Linked DNA regions of Mus musculus: regions 2, 3, 4, 5, 6 and 7 are each reported to be linked to region 1. Evidence: microRNA targets listed by miRTarBase, many of them from high-throughput screens and not tested one by one. Region 1 holds a microRNA gene; each other region holds the end of a gene's coding sequence.

Region 1 (3,098 bases):
ATATCAATTATTTAGACTCACTCTCCCAGAAGTCCCAGGGACAAAACCATCAAAAAGAGTTCAAAAAGAGGGACCTAGGTCTCCATGCTCATAGGTAGCAGAGGAAAGCATTGCCAGGCATCAATCACTGGAGAGGCCCTTAGTCCTGAGAAAGCTTTATGACCCATTCTAGGAGAATACCAGGGCAGGGTGCCAGTATTTTGTGTGTAATTGGGTAAAGTAACATACTTATATAAGATTTCCCAGGGGGTTCCTGTGGAGGACTCTGGTAAAGGGTGTAACATCTGAAATGTAAATATAAAATATCCAAAAAAATGGAAAACAATACCACACTTCAAATATTTTCCATCCACCATATTTGATGTGAATAATATAGCACACAAACATTGTTTACAACACTGAGTTGCATTTATTATATTTCAGATTTATGGACCACTGCAGCTTTTCATTGAAACTGAGTAATCATGGACTAGGGAATGGGCAGAATATTAACCTTGGTATTAAAACAATTCTTTCTAGATGCAAGAATAAATAATATTTTTTCAAGTAAAGAGTATATACAGAGCATACAATTGTTAAATTGGAAAAGGAGACAAAGGCACAATACAATTGCCCAGTAGGCAGCAAAAATGTCAAGAAATACGGTGAGTGGGCTCAAAAGCTAACAGAGCATCCCTGTAAAATAGCTTAAAGATAATCAATAAGGCAGAAATAGGACCACCCCAAAGTGTTCAGTGAGGTATTTTTCTGTAGGTCAGTGAAGAGAAGAGAGGGTAAAACAGTTTTTTTCTGCACTTCACTTTCAATTATTCTCATTTCTTCTGGGAAGGCAGGGAGGAGTGTATGAGTTATGAATCACCAGCACTGATGTAGATATCCAAGGTTACTGCAGGCTCTGCTGTCCATGCCTAGATATGAGATCTCTCTTCTGATTGGATCTCATTCCATTCTCTATTTGAATGCACATTCTCCATCAATCAGAAGCCAGGAGACCAAATAAATTGGTCTGCAGGGAAGGATTTGATCAGTCAGGCTTCTGGCTATATTCCAGGACTTACCTGGTCCTGGATATAACCAAAGCCTGACTATATGGTGCTAAAGACAAGGAAGAGTGCTTCTGTAACTGACAAGAGATGGAGCCAGTGGACAGCTCCAAGCAAACTGCTTTTTTTTGTTTCAGAGCCTCCATTCTCTGATTCTTTGGCTCCTAGTTCCTGTACAGGGAATGCCTCCACATGTGAAATTCAGGCATCTGCTGTCCATTTCTTGCCTCGGTCATGCAGGGCTGTGCCTTCTGTAATGAAGATACAACATTCAATCTTCAGCTTGTGACACAGACTACAGAACAATTTTGGCATTTTCATGTTTTTAGATCAGCCACTGTGAGTACCACGATGGCAGCAGAGGTGCTCAACATACCAGATTTGAGTATAAGAAAAATTAGATGTGATTAACAGGCAGAGAAACTACCATACCCACAATCCAAGCAGTGTTATGACAGTGATGCTGGTAGCATGTTACCATTAATAGCCAAAGGCATTCAACATTGCAACCATTGTTTATGGTGATACTTTTGTTGTTGTTTACTAGATTTTCTAAATGCTTTTCTCTCAGGTTGTCCTAAGATTTCATGATATTTTCATTCTATTTTTTTTTTTGAAATCAGGTCTCTGTCATAAAATCTGTATAATTTTGAACTGTTTTATTTTATTAATACATTCCTGAAGGTAGAAATAAATTTACAGCTCTATATGCATCAGAAAATGCCATGACCTCTTTAAAACCAAACATTAAGGAACTGAATGGGATTTGCAACCCTATAGGAAGAACAACATTATCAACTATACATAGCCCCCATAGAGGTCCCAGGAATTAAACCACCAACCAAAGAGTACACAAGGAGAGAACCATGTCTCCAGCCTCATAAGTAGCAGAAGAATTCTGAGTCAGGCTTCAATCAGAGTAGAGGGGCTTGTCTCTCATAAGGCTAAATGCCCCAATGTAGGTGAAAGCCAGGGTGGGGTAGTGGGATTGTGTGTGTGGAGAACATCCTCATAGCACCAGTGGGAGGGGAGATTGGACAGGTTTCTCTGGGAGGGAATTGTGGAATGGGCATACAATTTTAAATTTAAATAAGAAAATATCCAGTATAGAAATATAGAAAACAATCCACACATTAAATATTCCACATATACCATATTTTGATGTGAATATTCATACCATGTAAGCATTGTTTCAACACTCAGTAGCATTTATTATTTTTCAGATTTATGGAAAACTGCAGCTTTTAATACCACCCGAATACAGGTAGAGCTAGGCATGAGCTGAATATTAAACTAAATAGACAAACACCTCTTTGTGGATACATATTATATTTTCAAGGAAAGTTCATACACAGAGCATGTAACAGATAAATTGGATAAGTTGAAAAATGCACATCACAATTGTTCAGCAGGCAGCAAAATACAGAAGATTAATGTTACAATAAGTGGGCTAAAAAAGAAACAGCACATTTCTGGCTAATAGCTTAAAGCTAGGCAGAAGGAGCCAGAAATAGGACCATCCCCCAAGATTCTACTGACTTCTTTTTCTGTAAGTCAGTGCAGAGAAAAGAAGGTAAAGCAGGTTTTTTTTTCTGCCCTTCACTTTCAATTTATCAATTTCCTTCTGGGAAACTAGGGTGGAGGGGGTTGAGGTATCAATAAGCAGTACTGATGGAGATCTCCAAGGTAACTGCAGGCTTTGATGTCAATGCCTAAATATGAGCTCTATCTCCTGATTGGATCCTATTCCATTCTCCATCAATCAGAAGCAAGGAGAGCAAATAAATATGTCCACTGGGAAGGATTTGATCAGTCAGGCTTCTGGCTATATTTCAGGACTCATCTGGTCCTGGGTATAATCAAAGCCCGACTGTATGGTAGTAAAGACAAGGAAGAGTGTTTCAGTAACTGACTGGAGATGGAGCCAGTAGACAGCTCCAAGCAAAGTGCTAGTTTGTTTCAGAGCCACCATGCTCTGATTCGTTGGCTTTTAGTTCCTATACAGGGACAGTCTCCACATGTGAAATTCAGGAATCTGCTTCTACTGTCCATTTC
Region 2 (3,098 bases), not on the chromosome of region 1:
TATTCCTATGGCTGAGAAGGAAGAAAATAAAATTATTCTGGAAAAAATTGAAATAAGACACAAAACACTGATAGTTTTCCTCAGCTTATATTATTGCAGTCACTTAAGGTGAGTGTAGCTTATAAGATTTATTGTGAAATTATCCAAAAGTTTGACCATAGTTAAAAAAAAAAGAAAGAAAAAAAGAGTTCTGTACTTCAAAAGGGTTTTGATAGCAACATACATATTTTCTGTCACATCCATTACATAACAATTTATTTTATTGCCTGTTTCACATGTGGATATAAACTCTACACACTTGTATCAGGTAGTGGCTGGATATTTTAATTCTACTACTAAATGTATGCTACTACATGTAACCTATGTATGCTATGTAGAAGTAGGCATGCTTTGAATAAGTAATACTTTATACAATACAAAAAATTTGTGGACATAGTGTTTCACATGTAAAATTATCAATAGCTGATATATCACATGACTACTCTGAGCTTTTGGTGGTGTTTTAAGGTCATTTTGCATACGTTTCTTATTAGTTTCAACTCAATCTCTAATTAAATCTAAAGGTTAACTCATGATCCACTGGATGGCAGAAGTAAGACTCGGGTCAGCTGTCTCTCATCCTGTGGCTCTCAACAGCAGTGTTTCCACTTACACATCCACACCATGCAGATCACAAGTCTGTTTTTCAACATGAGTCAGGACGGGGCTGTGGTTATTAATGATAGAATATTTAAGTGAGGAGGCCACCTGCTTCATTCTGTAGCTATGGAACTGAGACTCTCAGTGGCCAGTAAACTTCATGTTATTTTTCATTAAGAAGAAACTCTAAATCCATGTTTCTTTTCTATATATCATAAGGGTGAGCACTATATATATATAAAACACTTGTATTCAGGCATCACAAAAGGATGTTATTGCAGCATTCATTCTGGGAGTGATCAAAGATTTTCCCTGATGGAGTAGCCCTTGAAGGCATCCATGACCCACATATACTACATGAATTAGTGTGTGTGAATAAAGTATATAGTGAGAAAGATGTTTTCAGAACAGAGTTGAACAAAATGTTTTCAGAACCTTGGATATGTTGAGATTCAGAGCATCTGATATATGCAAAAATGAGTGTATCCTTTTGGCATGAATGTGTGTTAATAAGACTAGGGTTTTGCATTGTGGAAGACTTTTAGTAGGCGTTCTACTGTTCTCTGTTTTCCAATATGGTATAACTTGCTGCTATTCTTTGAGAATTTCATACATGTATGCAAAGTGTTCCAATCATATTCACCACCACCTTGTCCTCCAACTCCTCCAAACTTCATGTCCTTTTCTTTTTATAAATCCCATTGAGTCCAATTAATGCTGCTAATTCACAATTAATTCACCAATTAATGCTGTTCATAATGCATGGATATGGGGTCATTCACTGGAGCACAGTCAATTACTGGGGACATACTTGGGAATAAGAACTGTCTGCTTCTCTCCTAGTAGCTATTGACTGTCAATAGCTTCTCAGGTAGGAGTGAGGATGCCCTTGCTCTTCTTCCATCCTGTGGGGATGTTGCCTGGCTTGATTCTGTGCAGGTCTTGTGGCTATAAATTCATGAGTGCAATGGTTCTCTCAAGCCCAGAAGATGTTTCTTACCCAGTCCTCCCTGACCTCTGGATCTTACAGTTTTGCTGCCCTGGCTTCCATGATATTTCCTGCACCTTTTTGGGGAGAGTTCTTATTTTGTGGCTGTGCACTTCACAGCCTCCAATTCTCCATGCTCTGACTAGTTTGGAGACCTTGCATTGACCACTGGCCACTGCACAAAGACTCTTCTCTGGTGAGGTTTGTGAACTTCACTAATCTAAAGGTTTTGAGACCCCCCTTCCTGGAAGGCAGTTTGATGCTATAACACGGTACTTTGAATGCAGTTTGAATGAGAACCGCTGGAAACCATTTATCTATTCTTTTATTTTCACATACATAGAAACAGCTTAAACTTTATAGTGGGTTTTAAAACACAAACAAATATATAAACACTTTATTGCACATGGGAAATATTTTGGACAAAGGACTGGGAAAGACACAAACAGGTTATGTGACAAGACTGGAGTTATTCCAAGGTCAAACCACAGGGTGTGTCCTGACAGAGATCTGCCACTACACGTATTGCACTTTTCTTTCCAGCACTTTGAAATCTGCTCTACAAATATTACTCATATGCTGTGCTTTTGTTTTCTTCCTTGAAATACGCTACAGAGGTTTTTAAAGGTTAAGAAATATGTACCATTGAAAATTAGCTGTCTACACGGAGGAAGTTAAAGAAAAGGCCACTCTTATTCTTTGGGGGAGAACAATTGACAAAATAATGAGGCAAAGTTTCTGTAAATAGATGGAGTTACTGCAAAGCTTGGTTTCATAAGCATTGTTCTATTTGTGAATGCTTTTTGAATTTAAGAAAATCATTAATCAGTCAAATCTTCCTGTACCTACATTCAGCTCTTCCTACCACTGAAACCCCTCCAAATAGTGCAAATGCGTAAAGGCACTGGCTGTAGCAGTCATTCGGCAATAAATAGTAACTCTAGAGCTAGTCAGTTCTATTCATTCTAGGTTTAAAAAAAAATAAAGTGCGTTGATGAGGCTTCATAGCCATCCTCTCATCCTTGATGTGATTAGCAGTCAGTTGGTGACAGTTTCAGCTCCTGGTCAAGGGATCTTCCTGGATCTTCTTCCTCATGTCCCACAGTTCTATCTGGAGTTGATCCAGGATGATGTAAAGTTGGTTTGTGCAGTCTTTGTGGAAAATTCAACTGCAGAGCAGTATCCAGTTACACAACTTTCCTGTGGTGCTATGGCACAGTCATTTATACATCTATGTATCCTCGTCATCTGGAGGGCTTGCTGCAGACCCAGTGGAAGTTTGCCTCACAGTCCACAGCGGTAACATTTTTGTGGTTCACGGACACGCACCTCCCAGACCCCGTCAAGTTGAACCTGTCAAGCCATAGAGACACTCAGATTTATTTCCAGCCCATCATTTCTAGCCAGTTACACGACAGTCAACTTTGCAGGGGCCTCTGCCTTTTCTGTTTGCTCCCTGAGTAGGAAGCAC
Region 3 (3,098 bases), not on the chromosome of region 1:
TCAAATTAACCCTTCCAGGAGACCTTACGGTTCCTCTCTTTCAGTTGACACTTCTCCAGAGAAAGCCTACAGCCGCCCAACTCCTGTTGTTCTGCCCTCTAGTCGAATTGAAGTCCTTCCCATTGACATGGGTGCCAGGGGCTACGGCAGTTCGGGGTCACCAAAGAATGGACAGTTCATCCTTCCTCCGGTGGACTATTTGCCAGAGAACAGAAAATGGTCAGAAGTTAGTTACACATACAGACCGGAGATGCATGGCCAATCATGGACTCGGGATGCTCACCGTAGCCACTTAAGCAATTTACCAAACTATGCAGCCTTTCAGCACATACCGTTTCAGGCCCATGGCCTTCCAGAAGTGTCTGTAGACAGTCCAGTGAGGTATAAGATGTCTGCAGCTGTGGAAGATGCCAGTCCTCCTGGGTATCCATATGCAGGGCCCTCACCTTCCGCACATCACTACAGAAATGGAGAGGGACTTTCTGTGCAGGAATCAGTGTTGCTGTGAGCGTGTGGCTGTATTCACTGACAAGAGAATAGAAACAATATGCCCACATTGCTATGTTTATAATTGCCAGAGCAGTATTTTTTATATTGTAAACAGCGTGCGCAGCTCAGTGTGTGTCAGTGATAAGAGTGTGGGAAGGCTTCATCCTCTGCAGAGGCTGCTGAAGAAGAGTGGGTCAGCTGCATCCTGGCTGAACCTTTAATAGGGGACCCTGGGGACCCAGCAGTAGCACGAGGGCTGCACACACAGGGCGGCTCTCTGTGCTGGTCCCTTCGTAGCTCCCCAGACCCGCTCTGTTCCGTTGCTGTTAGAACAGTAGACTACTGACCGCTATAGAGCAGATACTCTGAGGGCCGACCCTCGCCTTTTCATAGACAGACGAGGCAACTGCATATAGGTTTTGTCTTTAAAACCACCTTTAATCTAGATACATAGACTAACAGTGGATTTTTTTTAACCCTTTATCTTTCTGCCCACCCTGCCCAAACATATTTTAACCCAGGTTCTAAACTGAAACTGACTAGAGATGAATCCAGCGCCTGACAGAATGTCATTCTCCTTCAGTTGCTGCCATTTTATCTCCTCCTGAAAGCTAAAGGCTCACCACTTGATGGTGCCTAAAGTGGGTCGGTTACCCGAGTGAGCGGCTGCACAGTGCTCACTGAGTCCCCTCATCTCCAGCAGTCTTGGTGCTGCTGTGCCCCGGGCTCTGGTCTGGCCGGGTGTGAGGGAAGTCAGACCTTGCAGGGCCCCAGGCCGCAGAAGATTGCATTTCACAGTCGTGGGGAAGCAGCTCTAACCATAAGGAAGGCTGCTTCTCACCCTGCTTCCCCTTCTCACAGGCTTTCTCTGGCACTCGGTCTTCACAGAGCACAGTGGGTGGATACTGCTAACACTTACTGGGCCCCGGTCGAAATTGTGAAAAATACCCTAATGATTAATAAGGAATTTTAATCTAGAATTTTGATCTTTGTAAAAAAAGGGGAAAAAGGGTAGTTTGTTTCATACTTTTGGAATTTTTTTTCAGTGAAAAATAACTGAAGTTCATGGTTTTTAAAAAAGGTGATGATTCCTTTTATGCTATCACACACTACTGTCACCGAGACACTGACAAAGTGCTGGGTTCTCCAAGAGCGATGGCGGCGTCTGTGTAGGTGCTCGCCCACCGTTACCCTCTTCTTGTATCTGAATATCAGAAACTAGAAAGTCCAACAGTGACACTCCCCCTGCTCCAAGGTGGGGACTTAAGTTTGTGAGGTACAAGAATATGTTTTCATGAAAGTAACATTGTTTATCTAGCAAACGTGACAATATTTTTATGTATATAATGATTCTAATCTAAGTTAATTAATGTGGTAATGATGTTATTAAGTGTGGAAGCAAATGCAGTATATTAAAGGTGAACACCACACTGAAACTCCCAACTCCTGACAGAATAACCAGGCTCTTGATTTAGATCATGTGGAAGGTGAGATATAAATGTATATAGACATGTAGCTGAGGATATTAATTTCAGTCTTAAAGTGTGACTTGTAAGGAGCCAAGCTGTACAGTTTAGTTCATGATGGCAGCTCTCTGCCTCTTCAGAAAGTATATATCATAGTGGTAAATAATGTAGATTATATATATACATATATATATATATATATGCTATATATGGACACACTATTTTCTTATGTCATCTATGGCATTTTTTTATCTGTATACTTTTTGATGTGGTTGATTGTTTTTAACATGCTAAAAGTAATCCGTGTATTTTGTTCTGTGTCTTCTGTGTGCAGCTTCCCCGTGGCAAGTGTGTCCTGGCCTTGCAGGGCCTGGCAGATGCACCACGGGCTCACCAGCAGCGTTTACCCACGCTGTGCTTCTCTGCTTGCATTTCCAGGGAGACCGTGTTTTGAACCGCATCACCTTTCCTTGGCTTAAGCATTCGTTACTAATGGCAGGAAAGTCTTCCCTTCTATAAGATATATATCTCTGTTAGCTTCAAGTAGGAAATTTTAATTTAAAATTATTTTGCCACTATAAAATTTTATTTTAAATTTATTTTTAAATAAAAGAAATGATAAGAGAAATAATATTGACAAAGTGATTCAAAATCTATTTATAGAAAGGCTTGCTGGGGACATTCCAGGCAGATGAGCAGCCATGCCCCATAACGGCGTGCCCACAGTGGCCGGGCCATGGCTTAGGCTTCCCTCATGGTCACTTTGCCCATTACGTCAGAAGTAAGTGTCTGGGTGTGGTAGTATAAGTTTCTTAAGGAATTGTCCTGCTGACCTGTATCTAACTAATGAACTTAAGGGTCTGGGTTTTTTTTTCTTTTGTTTGTTTGTTCATTTTGTTCATTTGTTTGTTTATTTTGTTTTTAATTATCAAGTCTCACCCCAGACCACTTAAATCCTATCTTTGGTAAAACGCAGGTATCAGAGAAGCATATTTCCCTTGTGTCTCTTAATACTGTCATCTTGAAACTCTCTCTAGGAAAAATGCCCAAGTTGTCTTCTGTTTCTATTGTGGGATGTTTAAAAATGGTTTGTTGTTGTTGTTTTGGTTTCTGAAGACAGTATTGCTATATATCCCAGTCTGA
Region 4 (3,098 bases), not on the chromosome of region 1:
CTATAATATGGTTCAGTTAATTTTATTACTTTAACAGATAGCAAAATTATTACTTTATTTTCAATGTAAAATTGTTTACCACCAAACTTTTTAATGTGTAATATGGGTGGGGATTTAAGGTTTGCTTTTCTTCTTTTTTTTTGTTTTTTTTTGTTTGTTTGTTTGTTTGTTTTATTTTGTTTGATCCTTAGAATCATCTACTTATCAAATTTTGTGTCTTGAATATCCTAGGTAATCATTCCTGGGGAATTTATCCAGAAGCCGCCTTTCCCTTGCCAGTGGATAATAATCTCCCCGCCAACTCGGCTTACCCTGAACTACCATCACCTGATGGGAAGATGAAGGTAACTGTTACACAAATCACAGTGGCCCTGAGCAGCTTAAAAAACATCTTCACGCCTCTCCTTTTTCGAGGACTTCTGTCATTTTTGACATGGTGGATTGCAGCTTGCCTCTTTTCTACAAGCCTTTTTGGGCTTTTCTATCATCAGTATTTGACAGTGGCATGAATTTCAGTCAAAAACGGATATCCAAGTCACACTTTAAATTCAAATATCTGTGCCCTTGAAGGATTGACAAAAGAAGAATGCAAATAGAACGGAGAAAAAAATTATTGGAGTGTTTTGTTTTGAATGCTTCCTCTGTACTCTCAGGGTGAATTAATGTTGTAATATTTAAAACTCATGAGATAGGTTGTTACACTGTTACACACTGTGGCATTGGAATTGTAACTCATTGAGAGAACTAATGTGAGAGGGCTCTCTGCAGGGGTAATCCTTCTGATTATCTTGGTTTACAGTTGCAAACCTCCAACAGTCTGTTAGACTTCTTCTAGGACTCCAGTTACTGACTGCTTTTCATGGTGTTGTGGTACTGTTACTACTCATAGTTGCTGCCTACAGAACAATCTTCAAACTGAGCCATGCTCGAGGGAAGGGAAAGGAACGAAAATTACTTCTGTTGGTAATGTATTAGTCTTAAAAAAAAATCCAACAGAAAGGAAGAGAAAGCTACTGTATATTACAGTAAGAAAAGCTGCATAGTCATTTTAAATTGAATGGAGATATAAATTACCTATTGTCTACAAGTACTGTTACTTGAGAGTAGCAGGAATATTCTTTTAAAGTGAATGCCACCCAGCTTGAAAGTTCTTTTTAAATGATTGGCCATATGAACATCAGCGGTCTCACTGTTAGTTTTGGGCCTTGCTGTATTTTATTTTTTCTTTGATTTTAAATAGTTATGTTTAATCTAAAAATATTTATCAATACTGATCAAATTTGAGAATTACTTTGCAATCCTGCTGACTACGTGTATGTATTGTGTATATATTATATATTAAATATATAATATATTGAGGTTATAAAAGATGAAAATATTGAATCCTTATAATATTTTAAGTTTCAGAACGTACGTTAAACAATGATTTGAATGAGATGTATTTGTATCTGGAAATTTCTGTTTGGAATGAGATTAAAATACATTTTTTTAAAGCTCAACAGAGTGTAATTTATTTGTTGTACATATATGATAATAGTACTTAAAATGTCATGAAGATTAGTTGATTTCTCACAAATTAAATTTCATTTTCTGTTTTTGGTTTTTGCCTTTTATTAAACATAAATTCTTATGTCATACGATATATCTAAATCCAGGTTCCTATCCCTCTAACTCCTCTTTCTGCTCACCTCCTCTCACACCCAGATCCACTCCCTTTCTGACTCTCATTAGAAAAGAACAGGCTTCTAAGAGATAACAACAAAACATAACAAAATAAAATACAATAAGAGAAAACAAAAACCATCATAGCATGGTTGTACAGGCCAAGCCAACAGAAAAATAAGATGCCAATAATAGGCATACGAGTTAGAGAACCACTCTGCATTTATTCAGCAGTCCCTCTCCATAAAGTGTTAAACTGAAAACTAGAGTATATATATAGGGGACCTGGTCCAGACCCATAGGCCATGCTGCTTTAGTCTCTGAACTCATAAGAGCTTTGCTCAGATGTCTGAGAGGGCCGTGTTCTGGTGTCCATTGTCTCTTTTGTCTCCCAGACACCTTCTGCCTCTTCTGCAGAGTTTCCTGAGCTCTGTGGAGAGGGATTTAATGGAGACAAATCCAGTACAGCTGTGTGTTCCAAGGTGTGTACAGTCTTATCTGTGTGTCTCTCTCTTTCTTCCCCACTTCATAATATCTGCTGGTGAGTCTCTATGTGTTCCCATCTGCTATAAGAGGAAGTGTCTCTGTTGTTGGCTGAGTAAGGTACTGATCTATGAGTATTAGGAGTCATTTTATTGTAACTTTCAACTGCCCTGCTTTCCATTCCTGCCCTCAAATGCCCTTCAGTTCTAGCTGTCTCCCCTCATTCCCTCTTTCAATCCTGTCTCCTTTCAAACTTCCCACCTCCTTTCCCTAGTCTGTCCACTCCTGACCACCCCCCCCCATTCCAATTTCATTCCAGTCATAAAATTTACTCTATATTCCCACTCCAGGAAAATCCATGTGCCCCCTCAGCGGTCCTTTTCTCTATACCAAAACCTCTCAGGTCTACATGTTGTAGCTTATTTATTACTTAAAAGCTAATAACTACATATAAGTAAATGCATACCATATTTATTTTTATGGGTCTTGGTTTACTCACTCAGGATGGTTTTTTTTTGTATCCATTTGCCTGCAAGTTGCATGATTTCATTTTTTAAATAGCCGAATAATACCCTATTCTGTATCTTCTGTTGAGGTACACCTACGTTGTTTCTAATTTCTAATTTCTGAAGTAGAGTAGCAGTGACCAAGGTTGAGCAAGTTACCTTGTGGTGTGATAAAGCATCGACCAAGGGTAGCATAGGCTGGATCTTGAGTTAGAGAATTCCTAACTTTCTGAGCAATCACCATACTGATGTCCATAGTGGCTACAGAAGTTTGCACACCTACCAACAATGGAAGAGTGTTCCCCTTGCTCCACATCCTCACTGGCATGTGCTGTCACGTGTGTTCTTGGTGTTAGCCATTCTGCCAGGTGAAAGATGGAATCTCAAAGTAGTTTTGCTTTGCATTTCTCTGATGGTTAAGGATGTTGGATATTTCTTGAAGTGCTT
Region 5 (3,000 bases), not on the chromosome of region 1:
CCTCAAGATCCCGGGCGTGGGCTCGCTCAGCCAGAGCACCATCTGCAGGTTTGAGTCTCTCACGCTGTCACACAACAACATGATCGCGCTCAAGCCCATCCTGCAGGCGTGGCTGGAGGAAGCTGAGAAATCCCACCGCGAGAAGCTCACTAAGCCGGAGCTCTTCAATGGCGCGGAGAAGAAGCGCAAGCGCACGTCCATCGCGGCGCCGGAGAAGCGCTCTCTGGAAGCCTACTTCGCCATCCAGCCAAGGCCCTCCTCGGAGAAGATCGCGGCCATCGCCGAAAAGCTGGATCTCAAGAAAAATGTGGTGCGCGTCTGGTTCTGCAACCAGAGGCAGAAACAGAAGAGAATGAAATACTCTGCCGGCATTTAGGGACCCTTCTCCAGGGATGGCCCTTTCCCTTCGCCCTCTTTTTTTCTAACCCCCTTCTTGTCTCTTCTGCCTCTTTCCTTTCTACTTTGGCTATCAGAAAACAATTCCGGTAAATGTGAACCCAGACCAAGCCAGGAGCAAAGAAGCAAGCAGCTGAGCCCAAATCAGAGAGATTGTGAACCGGTTTCGCAGTGAAGAAAAACCAAAACCACAAACAACACAACACGAAAAGGAATTTGTCAAGTTGTAGCAGAGCTGTCCCCTTTAACTGCACCTGGGCTGCTCGGCTTCATCAGAGAAAGCGAGGAGCTGACTGTCAACAGGAAGGTAGAGGGACAAGCTTTTGAAAACCCTGCAAGAATGAGCAAGTAAGATTTGTTTTTGTTCTTACAGACGTCACCTTGTTCATGTTTAAAAGTACACTTTGCAGCTATTTTTCAGAAATAGAAATTGATTCAGGACTGAAACTCGAAGCTAGAGTTGATGCTTAATGTGATATGATAGAGACATCTCTAAAGTATTTTGAATTAAAAAAAGATGGCAGATTTTCTGCATTTACACTGTATATTATATATATATTTTTACTGTGGTTCTTATCGCTTTCTTCCTTCTCTGAAGTGTTAACACTTATGGAAGGAGTTGCGCCTGCTGTGTTCACTGATCTTGACAGCTATTATTAGATTATTGCCGTACAACCCTCTGTAAATTATTAATTTATCTCTCTGGCAACTTAATTTTGTGCACATCCTAATTAATTAAACTTCTTTAGTCTGAAAAATAAAACCGGCGGATACGTATAGCTAGTGATGCTCAAAACATTTTTCTTTTTTTCTTTTTGGTCCTGGATTTTTACAGCTTCCCACTTAGACTGTGTTCGCTTTGGCCTAGTTGTATATTCTCACTTTGAATGAAGATTGTTTCTTCCCTTTGTTTTTGACTGGTAGTGATCTAATTTGTGAGCTGACACTTTATAATTGATGTCTTAACCGTGTAGACCAGATTCACTGTCCGAAGTCTTGTTTACTTCCTTACATATTTAATGGGGATTCCCATATTGTCCCCGCGGCACACGTGCTCTCTCACTCACCTTACATGCCTACACACAAACACACATACACATCTCTAACAGAAGAGAAGAAGCAGCTGGAGGTACCAACGATGAGCAGTGTATACTTTCCCAGCCTTAGGTGCAGTCTCCACTTGGTGCTTACTCTGCTGGATTCTAAGATTTCACCAAGGTATTTCCATCTCCCAGTTTTCGATTGCTTTGTTGCTACATTTTGACCTTTATAGGGGTCCTTCATTTTTTCCTTTTAGGAGGTTTGTTTGTAGGGGGAAAAATTTGGAACTATAAGAAAGACAGTGCACTGCTTGTAAATTCACAGTGTTTGGTAGAATCCTTTTGGAGCACACACACAAATAGGTACAAAGTGACTGGTACCTTATCTATTGTAAATATTTCATTCAAAATGATGCACATATGAATATATTCTTACAGAATTTGCTGTAATTGCTGATCCATTTGAGGCTCTCCAAAGTTCTGAGTTCTGTATATGACCTCGTTTCTTGTTTTTGTTAATGGGTTATTTACTATAGTAATGTATTAAGTTATTTTGAGTGTTGTTTCATTGTCTTTCATTGAAGAGATGATTTTAATGTTTTACTGGCAAAGTATGCTGCTTTTTTCATTAAAATATGCTATTAATATTAAATGACTTTTAAAACGTGATGCAGTTTTTAATCATTTATGTGGGAATTATTTTGGTGCTGATTCTTTTAAAAGACAGGAACACAGAGAGTGGCCGCTATTAAAACACGGCTTGGACTTTGTAAGAGGCAACTCCCTGGGAAAGGATAAAAGAACAAGAGGATTTATAATATCACGTTAATGGCCAGGGCTCATCTCACAGGGCGCTTTGCTTTTTAGCTTAGATGAAATCATGGTGTCTGGCTCCATATAGCTCCTCTGGAGTCCTTTCTCCAGACTTGAAATAATTCTGTAAAGAGAATCTTACAAAGCCAAGGTCAGATGGAAACTATTTCAGCCACTCCTTCCCATCTCCTATGGGGCAAAGGAAGAAAGGGACCCAGCCCACATTTCAGTAGCTGTGGGAGTCTGGGTGTGGCAACTGTGGGGGCAGGACTTGGTGAGCCAGGAGCAGAGTGCAGCCCCCATCTTCTCAGTTCTTTAGCCTGTCCTGGAAATCAACCTGGGGTTCTGGCAGATGAATAAAGTCTCTGTCTTGGTGTCCCTCTGTCTCTGTCTTTTTCTATTCCCCATAACCTTTAAGAAAATTAATATTATTGCAATAGACAGGATGTGGCTGAGGAAAATCCTGGGTTGTTAAAAGGAACAAAATTTTGCCCCTTTTTGTGACTTTGTCTGGCACAGGATCTGGAGGAAGTCTATTAAACATTCATGTGGCCATGGGATTCTGCCCATTTGGCACAGCCACTTCTTTTTCTAATCCGACTTTAAGACAATTCCTCTCCCATTATAATAATTTTCGGGTCCTTCACAATTGTTGGGCAATGTATTGGGCTTTCAACGTTTCTTTTTCTAGTAAGGCTATGATTTGTATTTTTACACCAATCATAGTTCATGGAATTAATTGGCATGAGAC
Region 6 (3,098 bases), not on the chromosome of region 1:
TACTTCCTATGTGTCTCTGGAAGCAGAGTCAAAGAAGCCACTGAACACCTTTACTGTGTGTCTCCATTTCTACACTGCTCTGAGCACAGTGCGCAGCTTCAGTGTCTTCTCTTATGCTACCAAGAAGAACTCTAACGACATTCTCATATTTTGGAATAAGGATAAACAGTATACTTTTGGAGTGGGTGGTGCTGAAGTACGATTCATGGTTTCAGAGATTCCTGAGGCTCCAACACACATCTGTGCCAGCTGGGAGTCTGCTACGGGGATTGTAGAGTTCTGGATTGATGGGAAACCCAAGGTGCGGAAAAGTCTGCACAAGGGCTACACTGTGGGGCCAGATGCAAGCATCATCTTGGGGCAGGAGCAGGACTCGTATGGCGGTGACTTTGATGCAAAGCAGTCTTTGGTGGGAGACATCGGAGATGTGAACATGTGGGACTTTGTGCTATCTCCAGAACAGATCAGCACAGTCTATGTTGGTGGGACACTCAGCCCCAATGTTTTGAACTGGCGGGCACTGAACTATAAAGCACAGGGTGATGTGTTTATTAAGCCGCAGCTGTGGTCCTGACCTACTGTTGTGAGCCCTGAAGCACCTCCTGGGATTACATTCTCTCCCTTGTCTCGGGTTATGAACCTTTTAGCCCCAGCAGATGTTGTAGGTCTGTTCTGTGAATATGGCCTTTCACTTCTCTGCTTTGTGGTCCTCAGCACTAGAGCACGGAATTTAAATGGAAGGCTTCCAGCATAAGCATCCCACTAGGACTCTACCAAAGAGAATCTGACTTACCCATGGTTTTATATATATATATGTAAATATCCATATATATATATATAATTGAAAAAATTTCAGACATAATTCTTCTCCCTCACATAGATGAAAAAATAGATGCACAGAAAGGAGAATAATTTTTTATTGTTTTTGTTTTATAATGTCATCTTGAGTGCTGTATTTACATACTTTCTATCCCTCCCTCTTCAGATCCTTTCCTATCCTTCCAAATTCTCTCTCAAATTCATGATGTCTTATTATTAGCCTTATGCATATATACATATGCATAATACCTATCATCTATCAATCAATCAATCAATCAATCAATCTATCTATCTATCTATCTATCTATCTATCTATCTATCTATCTATCTATCTACCTATCTATCATCTATTCATCAGTCATCCATCTTACTGATTACATTTAGTGCTTCTTGTATTTTGTTGAAGACTGGACACTGGATAATCTATCAGGAGGGCCCCTCCCTGAAGACTGATTGTCCTTTTCTCAGCAGCCACTGATTACCTCTAGCTCTTCATATAGGGTTCTGTCTTTGTGAAATTTCTTCTGTCCATGTTGCATGTCAATTGGTGTCATTATGCAGGTCTTGTTTGGGCAACCTAGAGTGATGGAGCACTGACTACACTGTGCTCAGAATCAGTTCTTTTCTGGAATAAAATCTGTACCTGAACTTCCCCAGTCCATGAGTCAATAAAGTCACCTTTGGCTTGAATGAATTTGAGCAGTTTTATGAATAACTTCATTATTGACCCTCTGAAATCAAGACTCTAAATTCAGGTTGACTGTCACTGTCATGCAGAATCATATCCAAGCCATACTACCTCCTGCTGCTGGAGTCTTTTGTGATGAGTCTCTCTGAGGTGAATAGCTCTACTTTGGAGATAGCTGGTCATTCATGGGGTTCAGGTGTGGGGTTCTGATACTCTCCCTTTTAGATTTCCAGTTTGAGAACAAACATCTAAAGACTTCTGAGATTCATGAATCTGTAGTCAAGTCCAGTGATGGAGTACATTTGCTTCAGTCTGTTTGGCTGCTTTATAGAAACAGACCCCTCAACACTGCTGACTTTTCCTGGAGGCATCCTTTATCATGGTCTTTCCAGACTGGGTCAACAATGAATTCATTTCATAAGGCCTTATTCAGGTTGGAGAAGGGACTTATTCAATCATTGTTTTAGGGAAGGCATAGGATAGAATGGTTAAATTTAGAGGTTCTAGAATCAGGTCCATGTCCTGGTTTTATATCATACAATTATGTGACTTCTTTGAACTCAGTTTTCTTACCTATAAGTCAAGAGAAATGATTTAATTAATTTAAAGGTCATTGTAAGAGCCAGCTCTGATTACACAAACAGTAAGCTTGTATAAGAGCCACCCTCTGTTATTACTAGTTGGCTTTGTACTACATGCCTAAATATTATACACCATGAAAATAGTGCTGTTGGAGTTTTGTCTAGGTTGAAAGCATGTGTGTTTCTGATTTGCTAAAAATTCAGTTCAGACCATTAGGAGGATGAACAGAGTGTCTTTAAAGAAATTATTTATGAATATCGATTTCCCTAATTGACCTTTGATAACCATTTAGAAGCACAAGAGTTAGGGAAATACATTCTTAGGCAAAAATGTGAGTGCAGATAATTCTCCATTGTCCAATTAGGGCAGATCCATACACCCTGACACTCAGCTAAGTGGGAGAGAGGGTTGATGCTCTTTTCTAGTTAACGAATCTAACCAGGAGATATGTCTTAATTATAGAAGGCCGTCCCAACTCCTTAGGGATGTGGGATGAGCTAATATGTTCTTCAGAATTCAATTATGGCTACCTTGCTACACACAGTCTAGCAGAGAGCCTCTGGCCCCGATGATTTTATCCAGGGAAATTTTAACAGGCAGTATTTACATTCAGTGTGGATTAAAAAATCTTAATAAATATTTCTATAGTGCTTAAATTGAAGCAATTTGCCTTTTTGGCAGATACTTTGATATAATCTTAGAAAATATATTCCTAGGTACCTGGTGAATTGTCATGATATATGAAGTTGTTAGATGTAATTTAATAAAATGATATCTGTTGAGGATGATTTTGATTTGGGAATGTTGGTGCTGTTATTTTAATTTTTTTATAAGTGGATAATACCAACCTTCCATGCTGGTCACTCTAGGTGATATTGGCAATGCTGTGTCATTGCACTGGGATTTCCAGGGATCATGCATCAAGCTTATCCAGGAGCATTAAAGTGCAAGTTAAAAAGACAGAGAGCCCTGCTCTACATAAATCTGAATATCAAAAGTAGGCAATGGT
Region 7 (3,098 bases), not on the chromosome of region 1:
CTGAAAAGTGTACTTGGCTGGCTCACTGTGGAGCAACAGCAGAGCCCTGAGACATGTCAACTTCTAACCATTTTCACTTGTTTTCTCCTCCTCCTCTCATAGTGGGATGCCTTTTCCATTCCTGAACTCCAGAACTTTTTAACTATCCTGGAAAAAGAGGAGCAGGACAAGATCCATCAACTGCAAAAGAAGTACAACAAATTCCGTCAGAAACTGGAAGAGGCATTACGAGAGTCCCAAGGGAAGCCGGGGTAACCAGCCGACTTCCTGTCCTCTCAGTGCCCTCCAATTTATTTTATTGTTAATTATTTTGCAACAAAGAGTTACTGTTAAGACACCTCTGGTGGTTCCACCAGTGCCTGCCCAGCAGTTAACAGATGTGGCACAAAGTCTCTTCCACGCAGTGTCTATGCAGGGTTCGATTCCTGCTAACCCACCACACCATGGCTCTGGAGAGCTTCCGCCTGGGATCAGAACTCCTGTGGAATGACCAGTGTTTCCCTGCTCAGTCTGCTGGCCTCTCAGAAACCAAATAGTTGCCTCTCTGGTCACCAAACTCCAATCAATCACCAGCCGGCAAAAGGAAAGAAAGGTTTCAGAGCCTGTGTGTTCTTTCTCTGGATTTACTCTTCAGTTCCTCTTTTGGTTTGTTTGGTTGGTTTTTTTTGGCCACGTATAGTATATTTAAGGATCAAATGTGGCATATTCATTCTAGCTAAGTCCTTGAAAGCAGGAAAATGCTCATGAAAGGACTGTCCTTGCCCCAAGGTGCCTCTTCTTCTCTAGTACTAGACACTCAGGGTCAGCCTGAGATTTCAAGAGGCTACAGCCTGACCAGGCCGTCTCTTATTACCCAGCAGGCTGTGTGCATGCAAACCCAAAGACATATATGCACATCTGTGTGGTATTTCAGCATGTCTCTGTCCAATGTTTGATATGTTAACATTTGAATTTAATGCTGTCCTCCTTATGGGTTTCTACCAAAGAGAAACCAGCCACTTATCAATTTTAGTTTCTTGCTGAGCTGCCAGAAAGTATTACAGAGAAGCACATCCAAGCTGTCTGTGGCCTACGCCTGCAGGGGGTGGGGGGCCTGAATCTCCTTGGCCTTCAGTTCCACCTCCACCTCTGGCTTTAGGGTCTCCAGCTGTTGCCTGAGTAGTAGCTTTGATTACAGTGGTAAAGTCCTCCAACTTGGAGTCCTTTCTGGTGGGAAGCATGGTCTGCTCGCAGCACAGCACTGAGCAGACCCGTGGGCCTGACTTCCCTGGTGACTTCAGTGCCTTTTTGTTTGCAGAGAAAAGAGTGGGGCACTTTGCTTGAAGCTCTCTGCTGGCTTGCCCCTGGCAGGAAGTGGACAATGGTGCTATAGAGCCAAGGACACAGCCTCAGAGCACAGGGTGATTGATGATCAGCCTCTTTCCCATCAAGCTTCCCGGTCAGGCTTTGACTTTGAAGATGCGAGGTTACTAGACTGCATTGACAGCATCAGATTATGACTCCAACTCTTGAGTAGTTCAGACTTAAAACCAATCAGCCAGAGTAGCCAGGACTGCAAAGACACTCAATACAGATGGAGAAAAACTTGTCCCTTTAAAAGAGGGCCAGTGTTTCAATTGAGCCTCCAGAGGAGACCACTTTCATGTTGTGCTTGCCTTTCCATACCCTTTCCTCGGGTTGTTTTAAGCCCAAGCTTCTCCGTGTAGCCTAAAAAGTTCCCTACCAGCCCAGGCTGAAGCCACACTGCTCCCGTCCCAGAAGAACGCCAAATCCTTGTCATTCAAACTGTGCATCGTTTGCAGAGCTGCAAAAAGCAACATGAGCTAGCGACTCTGAGGTTGTGCACGCCATCAGCCCCTTGGCTGCCTGAGGTCTCATGCCCAGCCTTACACCTCTCTCCCTTAAGAAGCCCCCGTCCTGCTGTGTACTACAGGGGCACGTGGAAAGTCATTCCCTTCATCCTGCATGTCTGTAGCGTTAGGAGAAGGCATGGCTCCTGCTGCAAACACTGTGAATGCTGCTGAGAACGTCCCCCCATGGATGGCTTTTTATTTTTGACAAGAAAAAAAAATTCATGTATTATATATATATGTATATACACATAGAGGCATATAGCTATATATACAGAAAGGCGTTTATTCAGAAAATGATGGTAAGATTCAGACTTTAAAGCACAGTTAGACCCAGGACCTGTACTGAGGGTTGAGCCTCTGGAAAGCATGGAGTTCCTGACGTCTCAGAGGAGTCTAACTGCTGGTAGTGCCTTCTATGGTTGTATTATTGCTCTGTATGTGTTCTTTTCAGGATATTTTCTTTCTAAATGTCTTTCTATGTTTTTTAATGAGTAATAAAAGCTTACTGTAAAAACAAGTCACGATGGAATCGTCCTTGCTGAACGTCAACATCTTCTGGAAAGTGGGCTGGAGAGAGGAAGACTGAGGCAACTGCAGGTACATTTCTAGACAGAGCCAAGCTTTCTTCTCCAGTAAGCTAGAGAATGAAGGCTACCATTCAAACGCTTTTGAGAAAATTGTCCACACAGTAGAGGGTACTGCTTCTGGCTGCCTCTTCTCCATCTCTGCGGTGCTGGACGGGGAGGGGACTTACAGCTTTCTAGATACAGAGGTAAGCAGCACTTGTCCTTGGAATTATCTACAATGATGATGTGAGTGTGGGTCACTGATGACTTCAACTGCAGAGGGCTGGACTGGTCCGAAAGCAGCCTGCATTTTGGCCCCGCTGATTTCCAGCACGGAAATCTTTTAAATTCAAGAAACAGCCACATAAAGTTAACTAGGGAAATCACCACCTACCTTCCAGTGCTGCTCATGTATCACGCATGCATGGGCTCTCCAACTTACTCAGTTCTGCCTCTCTTCACCAGGCATCCTTAAAATTAGTCAATCACAGGGCGGGTGAGGGAGCTCAGTGGGTAAAAGGTGCTCACTGCCACGCCTGTGGATCTGAGTTTGATCTCTTGGGACTATACAGTGAAAGGAGAGAGCTCGCTCCCACAGGTTTTCTGCTGACCTCTTCATGCATGCTATGGCAAATGTGCACCATGTGTATATACACAGTGTGTGTGTGTGTGTGTGTGT

What was found. Region 1 holds the annotated microRNA mmu-miR-344e-3p (GAUAUAACCAAAGCCUGACUAU, at 1,068-1,089, shown strand). A microRNA usually pairs through its seed, bases 2 to 8, with sites in the 3' UTR of a target mRNA and lowers its output. Matches are read on the target gene's strand: a 7mer-m8 pairs with bases 2 to 8, a 7mer-A1 pairs with bases 2 to 7 and ends in A, and an 8mer does both.
Region 2: miRTarBase lists Cd69 as a target of mmu-miR-344e-3p. Seed matches in the 3' UTR shown: 7mer-A1 at 2,013-2,019.
Region 3: the mRNA of Usp6nl is a reported target of mmu-miR-344e-3p. Seed matches in the 3' UTR shown: 7mer-A1 at 2,128-2,134.
Region 4: miRTarBase lists Tmem161b as a target of mmu-miR-344e-3p. Seed matches in the 3' UTR shown: 7mer-A1 at 1,332-1,338.
Region 5: miRTarBase lists Pou4f2 as a target of mmu-miR-344e-3p. Seed matches in the 3' UTR shown: 7mer-A1 at 944-950.
Region 6: the mRNA of Crp is a reported target of mmu-miR-344e-3p. Seed matches in the 3' UTR shown: 7mer-A1 at 802-808.
Region 7: the mRNA of Rassf5 is a reported target of mmu-miR-344e-3p. Seed matches in the 3' UTR shown: 7mer-A1 at 2,080-2,086.

Annotation. Positions count from the first base shown.
Region 1 is chr7:61,733,530-61,736,627 of GRCm38, reverse strand. Mir344e (microRNA 344e) reads left to right here and starts at 1,026; the gene lies at 1,026-1,091. All of the region lies in intron 6 of A230057D06Rik (RIKEN cDNA A230057D06 gene), which reads left to right.
Region 2 is chr6:129,265,390-129,268,487 of GRCm38, forward strand. It overlaps Cd69 (CD69 antigen), which reads right to left. Exons shown (of 5, transcript NM_001033122.4): 5 at 1,935-2,980. The coding sequence ends at 2,872. Among named protein-coding and RNA genes, the nearest start is that of Cd69, 8.4 kb to the right of the region's middle.
Region 3 is chr2:6,441,235-6,444,332 of GRCm38, forward strand. It overlaps Usp6nl (USP6 N-terminal like), which reads left to right. Exons shown (of 15, transcript NM_001080548.1): 15 at 1-2,586. The coding sequence ends at 508. Among named protein-coding and RNA genes, the nearest start is that of Gm13388, 5.2 kb to the left of the region's middle.
Region 4 is chr13:84,294,372-84,297,469 of GRCm38, forward strand. It overlaps Tmem161b (transmembrane protein 161B), which reads left to right. Exons shown (of 12, transcript NM_175187.5): 12 at 232-1,595. The coding sequence ends at 509. Among named protein-coding and RNA genes, the nearest start is that of Gm41011, 48 kb to the right of the region's middle.
Region 5 is chr8:78,432,113-78,435,112 of GRCm38, reverse strand. Pou4f2 (POU domain, class 4, transcription factor 2) reads left to right here. Exons shown (of 2, transcript NM_138944.3): 2 at 1-2,104. The coding sequence ends at 376. Among named protein-coding and RNA genes, the nearest start is that of Pou4f2, 3.0 kb to the left of the region's middle.
Region 6 is chr1:172,698,454-172,701,551 of GRCm38, forward strand. Crp (C-reactive protein, pentraxin-related) reads left to right here. Exons shown (of 2, transcript NM_007768.4): 2 at 1-1,513. The coding sequence ends at 574. Among named protein-coding and RNA genes, the nearest start is that of Crp, 1.9 kb to the left of the region's middle.
Region 7 is chr1:131,175,682-131,178,779 of GRCm38, reverse strand. Rassf5 (Ras association (RalGDS/AF-6) domain family member 5) reads left to right here. Exons shown (of 6, transcript NM_018750.4): 6 at 103-2,370. The coding sequence ends at 255. It also overlaps a transcript of Eif2d not described here. Among named protein-coding and RNA genes, the nearest start is that of Eif2d, 24 kb to the right of the region's middle.